3 linked regions of the Nothobranchius furzeri genome follow. The protein of the gene in region 1 interacts with the protein of each later gene in a biochemical or structural test. Links are inferred from orthologs where the notes say so. Each region holds a gene or a part of one and is shown on either strand. Other genes may lie near its edges.

Region 1 (3,372 bases):
GCCCGTCTAGACTCTGTAGCTTCGTTGTCCCTGCGTGCTCGTTTAAACAAAACCAAATCTCACGTTCTCACTGCCTGCCTGACCTTTCTGGTAGTACTTGGAGTTGTGTGTCCAGCGGAAGCCTGTGCAGAGACCAAAATCAGTCAGCTTGATGTGCCCGTCCAGGTCGATGAGGATGTTGTCCGGCTTGATGTCGCGGTGGATGAAGCCCATCTTGTGGACGCTCTCGATGGCCAGCGTCAGCTCGGCCACATAGAAGCGTGCCAGAGGCTCAGGGAAGACCCCCATCCGGATGAGCAGACTCATCATGTCTCCTCCGGGGATGTAGTCCATCACAAAGTAGAGGCTGTCTCTGTCCTGGAATGAGTAGTAGAGACGCACCACCCACTCGTTATCTGCCTCTGCCAGGATGTCGCGCTCTGCTTTCACATGGGCCACCTGCACCAGAAACACTCGTTAGGACTTCTCTGATTGATGCTCACCAATCACTAATTCATCAGTAATAGAGTAAATGCATAATAAATCACCTGGTTGCGATTGAGGACATCTTTCTTGCGCAGTGTTTTCATGGCATAAAGTGCGCATGTGTCTACTTTACGCGTGAGGCACACTTCACCAAAAGCACCAATACCCAGAGTCTTGATTTTGACAAACATGGACTTGTCCATCTTGGCACGGCGCAGCCTGTTGTAGTTGGACTCTTTCTGGTTCAGCATCTTCCTCATCTGCTCCTGCTCTGCCTCCGACAGGCCAGCCTGGGCAGAGAAGAGGAGGGTCAAGCTGAAGCCAGTGGTCTGACCTGGGTTTGTCATTTTGTGCCAAAAACACGACTGAACTGGTTTTAAATGAGCAGTAAGCTCTGTTATCTTACCTTGGACATCTCTTGCTCCAGCTGAAGCCTGCGGTTGAGCTTCTGCTGGTAGGTCTTCATCACGTTCTCTATGTGCTGCTCCATGTAGAATTTGAAGGCGAAGGGGGAGTAGGATTTGATGCGAGACTCCCTCTTTTCTTCGTTCCGTCCGTTCTTTCTGACAGGCACAGGGGACGTCTGGATCTGCTTCTTGTCCTTCACCGTCTTCTCTCCCTTGCTGACCTTTGTCTTCTCTTTGAGCTGCTGGCCGTCTTCGGCCTTTCCACTCCCCCCGCTGCCACTGTGTGTGCTTCTGGTAGCGGGATTGCTCGGGTCTGGTGCACCTGCTCCCTCCAGGACCCCAGGCTCTCCAGCTGCTCCAGACATGAGCAGATTTTTCGGGTAAGGTGGAGGAGGACAGCGTGGCTCTTGTACAGGATCTAGTGGGTAGGTCTCCTCCGGCATGTAGGTCAGAGGTTCTGCTGCATCCTGGGCTTGAGCAGTCATCCAGGCAGGGTGGCACGGTCCCACTGCAGTCTTGGGCTCTGGTCTCATTACACGGATGCTCTTGACTGGCTGCTGGATAGGTGGGGAGGTTACAGCTGTGATGGTGTTTGGAGGGCCCAGTGAGGAGTCCTGTTTCCCAGCAGTGGGGGGTGCAGCCATCGTGGGTCGGACAGCGTTTGGACCTGCAGAACGACTGTTGAAGGAGTTAGTCCTGCTGGGCACACGTACTTCCCCCCGAAACGGGCCCTGGGGCTGGGCTTGCCTGGATGGAGGGGCCCCTTCAGGAACTGGAGGCCCCCCCCAATGATGGTCATACAGGTCTAGGTTGAGGCTGGCCCTGGAGGGGGTCATCTGGGCCAGATCTGAGAAGTCGGGGCCCAAAGCTGCCACTCCGCCCGGGGAGCGGGACATCATATGGACCGGGTGGGATGTGGGGCTGGCTTGTCGGGGGTGGGAGTGAGGAGAAAGGTACATGTTAGTGGGGTATCCACCTGCTCCTCCCCCCGGCCCATTCTGAACCATTCCCCCTTTCCCCTGCATGTTGATGTAGTTGTCTGGAGGGGCCATAGGTGGTGGCTGCATCTTGTTCTGGAAAGAAGGAGTCCTCTTGACTCCGTAGCCTGCAGGCTCCATCATGTGCTGCCTGGGATGGCCATAATCATAGTGTGGCCCTGGAACAGGGCCCCCTGGTGGCTGTGGCTGGAGCTGCAAAGGCTGGCCCGGGACGTTGTAGCTCATCATGGGCCCGTGCTGCTCCATGCTGCCAGGGTAGCCCTTCTGCTGAGCCCCTGGGGGGTACATGGTGCTACCCGGGTTGCCTTGGGTAGGCATCACAGGCGGATAGCTGCCCATGCTAGGGGGCCGACCCATTGGATTCCCTATTGCAGCACCCTGAGCTGCACTGGAAGGGGGCATCATGTAGTTCATAACAGGGGGGGCACCCATGTAAGGCCTGGTCATCTCCCCCTCAGGTCCATAACCTGCAACCCCGTCATACATGGAAGCCCCCATCTGGTGATAAGGAGGCATGGCACCTGCCTCACCTGGAACCTCTAAGGTGGGCCGATGGTCCATTGTGTTTTGCATCCCTGCTTTACCTGCAACATGGAAGGAGGTCACAGATGTCATGCTCAACAAAAACGTCTTCTCATCATCCAGTAAAAGCTGTAAATAATAAGCCACCAGCTGGGTGTTCATACCCGGCGACGTCTGTTTAATGACACGAACAATGAGCTCGTTGTGAGGGTCAAGGTAGCCCATTTTACTGATGTACTCCAACGCTGCTTCAATATTCCTGCTGCCCGTCTGCTTCAGCGCTCGCACCGCCATTTCCTAAAAAACACAAACATGCTGAAGTCCTAAACACAACAAAGCTAACAGAACCATCAATGAGGTCAATGATCACAACGCAGGTGATTTATTTAGATGTAATCACTCGGACAAAAACAATTAAAGGTGATCAAATACGGCAATATTTTACTTAAAGGGACTTTACGGAGTTTAGAATTTTTATGCTCGCGATTGCCCCCTCAGGCCAAAAGCGTAACGGCAGCTTCAATAGTAGGCTCGTGCACGAAGCGCGCATGCTGTACGTGCACACTCCTTAACGAAAATAACAGCTGAGACAGTCGTGTGTGTGTGTGTGTGTGTGTGTGTGTGTGTGTGTGTGTGGCCCGGAGGACAGGAGAACACGCAACTAATTAATTAAATAATTTGGTTCTGTACCTCTCTCTTCAGCACAGCCGACAAAGGTTTATGATGGGTCAGTCCTCCTGCATGCTCAGATCATTCCCTTCCCTTGCTTGAAGAATTGTTCCAAAATGAAAGTTGAACCCACATCTTTTTCATCTGTGAATTCAATGCCGTACGGCGAGTCTCAAATAAAAATTTGGGCATCTTACTGTAAAAAAATACACCATTAATGTAAAAAAAAAAAAACTCTAAATGAACTATGTTCACACCCAGAATTGAACCCAGGTCTTCTGCACGAGAGTCCGACGTCTTATTAGGTGAGC
Region 2 (3,658 bases), on another chromosome or scaffold:
CCGCATGCTACTGGACAATGAATGTGACATACTCTTGTTTCACTCTGTTGCATCATCCCACCCACCAGGCATATAGAGTGCCCTGATTGGCCCACAAAGCGGATAAAGCCCTGTGATTTGTTCACTAAGCAGATAGAGCACTAGGATTGGCCCACCATTATGGACCAATCACAGCTCTTTATGTGTTTGAAACCCCTCTAGAGAGTTGTGATTGGCTAGCCAGAGTCCTGGTAGGAGCTGCTGAGGTTCCAATGGAGCATGCCTAGACCATTCTTTGCAAAGCAAGAATTTGGTCTAGTTCACTAGGCTAGATAAACATTAGACTTTCATATATATTAGATTCATCACACACAACTGAAGTAGTTTTAGCATTTTATTGTTTCTAAAATTGATGATTTTGGCATACAGCTCATGAAAACCCCAAATTCCTACCTCAACAAAGTAGCATATCATGAAAAGGTTCTCTAAACGAGCTATTAACCTAATCATCTGAATCAACTAATTAACTCTAACACCTGCAAAAGATTCCCGAGGCTTTTAAAAACTCCCAGCCTGGTTCATTACTCAAAACCGCAATCATGGGTAAGACTGCCGACCTGACTGCTGTCCAGAAGGCCATCATTGACACCCTCAAGCAAGAGGGTAAGACACAGAAAGAAATTTCTGAACGAATAGGCTGTTCCCAGAGTGCTGTATCAAGGCACCTCAGTGGGAAGTCTGTGGGAAGGAAATAGTGTGGCAGAAAACGCTGCACAACAAGAAGAGGTGACAGGACCCTGAGGAAGATTGTGGAGAAGGACCGATTCCAGACCTTGGGGGACCTGCGGAAGCAGTGGACCGAGTCTGGAGTGGAAATATCCAGAGCCACCGTATACAGGGGTGTGCAGGAAATGGGCTACAGGTGCCGCATTCCCCAGGTCAAGCCACTTTTGAACCAGAAACAGCGGCAGGAGCGCCTGACCTGGGCTACAGAGAAGCAGCACTGGACTGTTGCTCAGTGGTCCAAAGTACTTTTTACGGATGAAAGCAAATGTTGCATGTCATTCAGAAATCAAGGTGCCAGAGTCTGGAGGAAGACTGGGCAGAGGGAAATGCCAAGATGCCTGAAGTCCAGTGTTAAGTACCCACAGTCAGTGATGTCTGGGGTGCCATGTCAGCTGCTGGTGTTGGTCCACTGTGTTTTATCAAGGGCAGGGTCAATGCAGCTAGCTACTTCATGCTTCCATCTGCTGAAAAGCTTTATGGAGATGAAGATTTCATTTTTCAGCACCACCTGGCACCTGCTCACAGTGCCAACACCACTGGTAAATGGTTTACTGACCATGGTACTACTGTGCTCAATTGGCCTGCCAACTCCCCTGACCTGAACCCCGTAGAGAATCTGCGGGATACTGGGAAGAGAAAGTTGAGAGACGCAAGACCCAACACTCTGGATGAGCTTAAGGCCGCTATCGAAGCATCCTGGGCCTCCAGAACACCTCAGCAGTGCCACAGGCTGATTGCCTCCATGCCACGCCGCACTGAAGCAGTCATTTCTGCAAAAGGATTCCCCACCAAGTATTGAGTGCATAACTGAACATAATTATTTCAAGGTTGACTTTTTTTGTATTAAAAACACTTTTCTTTTATTGGTCGGATGAAATATGCTAATTTTTTGAGATAGGAATTTTGGGTTTTCATGAGCTGTATGCCAAAATCATCAGTATTAGAAACAATAAAAGGCTTGAACTACTTCAGTTGTGTGTAATGAATCTAATATATATGAAAGTTTAATGTTTATCAGTAATTACAGACAATAATGAACTTTATCACAATATGCTAATTCTTTGAGAAGGACCTGTAGACCAGATTACTTTGTGTGTGTAGGCTGTGGGCATTTACGGTGGTGTGGGTTCATCTCATTTTACCTACAGTTTGGCCCTGAGATTTATTGGAAGCCCTTGAAGTTTTGCTATTGTGATATAATTCTATATATTGTGCAGCCCTAATCATATCTGTCCTTATGGTTTCTATGTTTCCTGTAGGTATGAGTACCACTGGGCCGATGGAACTAATATCAAGAAGCCCATTAAATGCTCAGCTCCAAAGTATATTGATTACCTCATGACCTGGGTGCAAGACCAACTTGATGACGAAACACTTTTCCCTTCAAAGATCGGTAGGATTTACTGCCTGGTTTCTAATCAGCCCTAAAAAGACTGTTTTTGTGCATCGTTTGAGTTTACCATTAGACCATTGTCTAACTGAGCTGAAAGCTGACGCCTCGCTGGAAACACAACATTGAGACAAAAGTACATTTTGGTTGGAGTCACATGGAATTGTAATGTACCATAGATTTGTGACAGGTTTTTATTTGCCCATGACATTCTCTCTCCCGCTCGTCTCTCAGACCTCATCCCTCTTTACCGCCTAGTTTTGCACAAAAACAATCATGCATTTTTTTGTTCTTTAAAAAAGATCAGTTACATTTTTAAAGATATGTTAAATAGGGATCGAACACACTTGGAAGTGGCTGCTTAACTATGTGCAGAATCGCAGACATGATAAAGGCTTAACATAGATGCTAGCTGAGGCATGTGCTGTTCAGGGTGGAGCACAAACAGATGTCTGGCTGATGGAGCGCTCTACATATCAGTGGGAGAACTAAATGTGCATGCGTTAGAGAAGCGTGTATATCTTTATTTAACATCCACAGCTTAAAGGTTTCCTACGTTTGTTGGAGCATTCTGTTAGCAAAGCAACACGTTCTAAAACTTCTACCATTCCAGGAGCTTCTGGTGTGTAAATAATGAACGTTGTTTGTAGGGCTGGGCCATATGGCCTCAAATCTCTATTGCAATATAATCTGAAGCATGTGCGGGAACGATATATATTGCGATATATGTTTATTTATGTCAAAATGACATGCTTTTAAATATCCTCATGTGGCAAATATATGCCACTTGAGGCATCTAGACCTCCTCTTCCACCCACTCCATGCTTGCAGTCACTGCCATTCTGTTGCCCCAGTGTCAGCAGGGTGCACATCTTAAGCCCCTTTCAGACAGGCCATGAAAAACTGAAATGTTCCGGACTCTGTCCGTAAGACCTTTGTGTCTGAATACAAACATCCGGAAAACGTTTTCCTTAATTAAACCGGACGATGCCCCTAGTAACAGGTCCGGACTTGTCACGGACAAGGTGGCTGCTTCAGACTGGTGAGGTCGAGTTCCGGACAGGGAGGAGGAGGGGACCGGGGGACGCTGTGCGCTCCTAGATAGCTCGCTCCTGTAGCATGCGGCGTACCATGGCAGCTCGCCTCCTACGGTACCGTCTAGACGCGCGACGGAGCGCTTCACACCGCTTCCGTGATTCCTTTAACCATTGAGCGCCATCATCTAGGTCTTATGCGTCTTCGTGTGCGCAGAATTATGCTTAACATAAGTCCGATCCCCCTCCCCCTCAGACATCTGGAACTTTTCCCTGCTGTGTGAAGGCAGCCGAAACAACAAGTTCCGGTACAAAAGTGGTGTGTCTGAAAACACAGTTCTGGTTAAAAACTGGACTGAATTGTCCACACATATTCCGGAATGTCAATCTGAAAAGGCCTTTAGTGACGTCATGTGTTATTGTGGTATTGCTATATAGCCAAAAACTCTATCATTACCCAGTTTTATAT
Region 3 (3,269 bases), on another chromosome or scaffold:
ATGACTCGGACTCGAGGACAAAAAAACCCGATCGGGACATCCCTACTGAGAACCACACCTCCATGCTGCAGCAGCGTTCAGTCAGAACAGGAAGTGAAACTTAAACGTAGCTGCTGTCAGTAACAATCTAACAGATTTTAAACATTAAAACTCAACAGAAACAGTTCAGAAAGGAAATTTCACAACTTTGTGTGTGATTTATTATTATTATTATTATTATTATTTATTGTGGCAGAAGCTGGTGTGGTCCACCACAGAGAAGCTGCTCTAGCATGATGACCTTAATTATTCTACAGGTTATTGTTCAGCCTTCTGATGCTCACACACACACACGCACACGCACACGCACACGCACGCACACACGCACACACACACACACACACGCACGCTGACGCTCCGTGTGTATTTTTATTTCTGCCGTGAGACAAACTCACCTCACACCATCCAGAGTTTGTTCTTTAAAGCTTCTATTAAATCCACCGTGTTGATGTATTTTAACACGTTTCCTCTACGCTGCAGGAGTTAAAGTTTACATCACGGAGTAAAAGTTCGGCAGACGCATTTGTTTATATCTGGGTTGGAGGGAGGGGGGGACTCGGTGCTGCACACAGACAGCTGGTGTGATCAGCTCTGAAAAGTGTTGATCACAATTTGCAGATCACGTTTATTTTTCACTGAAATCGGCCGCGGATTCCTCTTCCGTCGGCATTCTAGGAATCAAAACTAGGAATCGAAATAAAACTTTGAACGATTCCAGGAAAAACTAACTGTTGGTCCCGGTTCAAATCGATGCTCGGTGCCCAACCCTGTTTAGTAAAGTATGTTTTGTTTTAGTAAAGTGATTTTAGGAAAAGTTCATTTTAGAAGTTTTGTTTAGAAATTTTTACTTTAGTAAAGTGCGTTTTGTTTTTAGTAAAGCGAATTTGGTAAAGTTTGCTTTGTAAGGTGAGAGTAAAGTGGCTTGGCATTCTTCACCTTGTAGCATCCTGTGTAATTCCGATGGAGTGAGCTGACCTGCTAAGCGATCAGGGATGTAAACCGGGCTGGGGCTGGACAGGCGGGCTGGCAGCGTCATACTCTGCAGGACTGGAGTGTTGGGCTTGCTGGTGTCCTGGCATTGACCCTTGTCGGTCTGTGTGCAGCTATCCCTACTGCCAGTCTTAGAGTGGCCTGTGATCATCGAGGTGGAAGACAGTATGGGAGAAGGGGAAGATGAGATCGACTCTGTCCTCAGAGACTCTGGACCCAAAAGAACCCCTGGAAAACCAAGAAAACAAGATCTCATCAAAAAGCAAGGACATCTTCTGCTTCATGTATTTAGGCACTTCTAAAAATGCTCATCTTTCTTATTTTTGCAACAATTGTGATTTTTATGAAACACTGTACTCCTTCATGAAGTTAGGATATTGATGACAAAGGAGTTCCAGTGTTTAGTTTGGGAATGATTTGTTTGAAAGTAGGTAAAAACAGAAGCACAGAATGTCTGTAGTGGTACTCTATGACAACAGAGTACTTTGTTCTGGGTTTGTTTACGTTTCTGACGTCTGATTTACAAAGAAGTTAATCCTCAGCACAAAAAGAAAAAAAACAGACAGGTCTGTACCCAGACTGCCCTTCCAGCTTGTGTCTTTGCGTTCTTCAGTGATCGGGGAGCTGCTGAGTCCAAGGCTGTGAGACAGTAACCCTGACCCACCAGAGCCAGTGTTAGAGATGGACATCAGAGACTTAGATGGTCTCATTGCAGATGGTGCATCTGACTTGGTGGGCTCTTTTCTGGAGCGCTGGTGGAGAACTTTGATCATGGCGTCCTTCTCAATGATCTGTGCATGGAGATTCTTTATCCTGGAGGATATAAGAACAGAATACAGCTTTAGCTCCCTTAATCGAGAGAAATTGAGTGTGCAAGTCAGCACTAATCCCACCTGCTTCTTTAATTAACAGGTTCAGCAATAGGCAACAACCTTAACCCCGACCCAAGGTAACAGGAACCTTTACAGCTATACAGTGACACCATGTGACCCTTCTCTCTGCATTTCCATCAGAGAGGAGAGGTTTCTCTGCTGCGGTTAACAGTTTCCAGACAATGCTCTCAGCTGGTTAACACTGGTAATGTAACCATGAGTCCGAGTTAGGAAAACTTCTGTGGTTCTGGTGGTCCATCCATCAGTAGTCTGAGCTATGTGGTGTTTCACAAAAGTCTTTGACTCATCACTCCTGCAGTTAAAGTTCAGGAGCGACGACGCCTCAGCGGTCAGGGTGAGGGGAGCCTGCACGTCATGTACATGTGAATGAAGACAGAAGTGCACACAGTGAATGTGGCTCTAACCTGCTCTCCATGTCCAGGCAGCGACGATTAGCCATGAGGATCTCCTCTTCCTCCTTCTGGATGCGAGCTTCCAGCGACGTGTCGTAGCTGCTGCTTGGTGAGTGGTTTATTCCTGCTGCAGAAGCATCCCTGCACAACAAAGGTCAAAGTTCACGTCAACAGAACGGCGGCTTCCAGTCATCAGGTGAGTTTTACCATGTCTCTCACTCTAGTCCATATACATAGACCAGGAGTCTCCTGCCTTGTTGTACCTTTGAAAATAGTCTTTGCACATGGGACATGGGGACTGTGTCCACATGTACACCAATGAGGATAATGTGCATTTCAGTCTGTGGAGGAAATGTGTGGAACAGGGCTGATGAGGAATTAAAAAGCTGTGTAATTATAAATCAACTAAAATATTTTATTAAAAGAATCATTAATGCAGGAGTACATGTGATGGGCCGTATTTCTGCATGATCTGGTGAGCGAGTTAGTGTTATGTGTGACATGGAGGACACCTTAAGTATACAAATATTTATATGGGTGTTTTTATTGGATGAGGCATCTGGGGGGTAGGATTTAATGAGCACATCATAATTTTCCTGTCATTTCCTGATTAGATCTGTTATTAATTATTTAATAATAATAATAAAATAATAAATAATATAATTAATATTTTTTATGTCTGAAATGAAGATGTCATTCATTCATTCACCAGCACAATTTACTCCTCAAAACATTCCGTTCAGGCACAAGAAGTGTAAATTATTACTTGTATTACATGTGGGGTTACCATGGTAATGTAACATTTTCATTGAGAACAACGTGAAATTCCTCCCGCCTTACACAGACTGTGCTGTTCCTATGACGCTGGTCAGAAGATTCGATTGATGTGGGACTACAACAACATACTCAGCAGCTTTTGGATATTATAATCGGTTTCAGTCTAGTGGGGATTTTT

The links.
Region 2: the proteins of lats2 (region 1) and mob1bb form a complex in vitro, tested with the Homo sapiens proteins (2 studies listed by BioGRID). The link is inferred for Nothobranchius furzeri from reciprocal best matches to the Homo sapiens genes LATS2 and MOB1B.
Region 3: of the proteins of lats2 (region 1) and amot, one has a biochemical effect on the other in vitro, tested with the Homo sapiens proteins (3 studies listed by BioGRID). The link is inferred for Nothobranchius furzeri from reciprocal best matches to the Homo sapiens genes LATS2 and AMOT.

What each region holds. Positions count from the first base shown.
Region 1 is NC_091754.1:33,294,072-33,297,443, forward strand, and holds part of lats2 (serine/threonine-protein kinase LATS2), read right to left. Parts: intron 3,209-3,372; exon of another isoform or gene 3,083-3,208; intron 2,690-3,082; coding exon 2,557-2,689; intron 2,455-2,556; coding exon 872-2,454; intron 756-871; coding exon 528-755; intron 439-527; coding exon 84-438; intron 1-83. UniProt on the Homo sapiens protein: Negative regulator of YAP1 in the Hippo signaling pathway that plays a pivotal role in organ size control and tumor suppression by restricting proliferation and promoting apoptosis.
Region 2 is NC_091746.1:66,457,797-66,461,454, reverse strand, and holds part of mob1bb (MOB kinase activator 1B), read left to right. Parts: intron 1-2,024; coding exon 2,025-2,158; intron 2,159-3,658. UniProt on the Homo sapiens protein: Activator of LATS1/2 in the Hippo signaling pathway which plays a pivotal role in organ size control and tumor suppression by restricting proliferation and promoting apoptosis.
Region 3 is NC_091750.1:44,155,665-44,158,933, forward strand, and holds part of amot (angiomotin), read right to left. Parts: intron 2,456-3,269; coding exon 2,327-2,455; intron 1,843-2,326; coding exon 1,604-1,842; intron 1,258-1,603; coding exon 976-1,257; intron 1-975.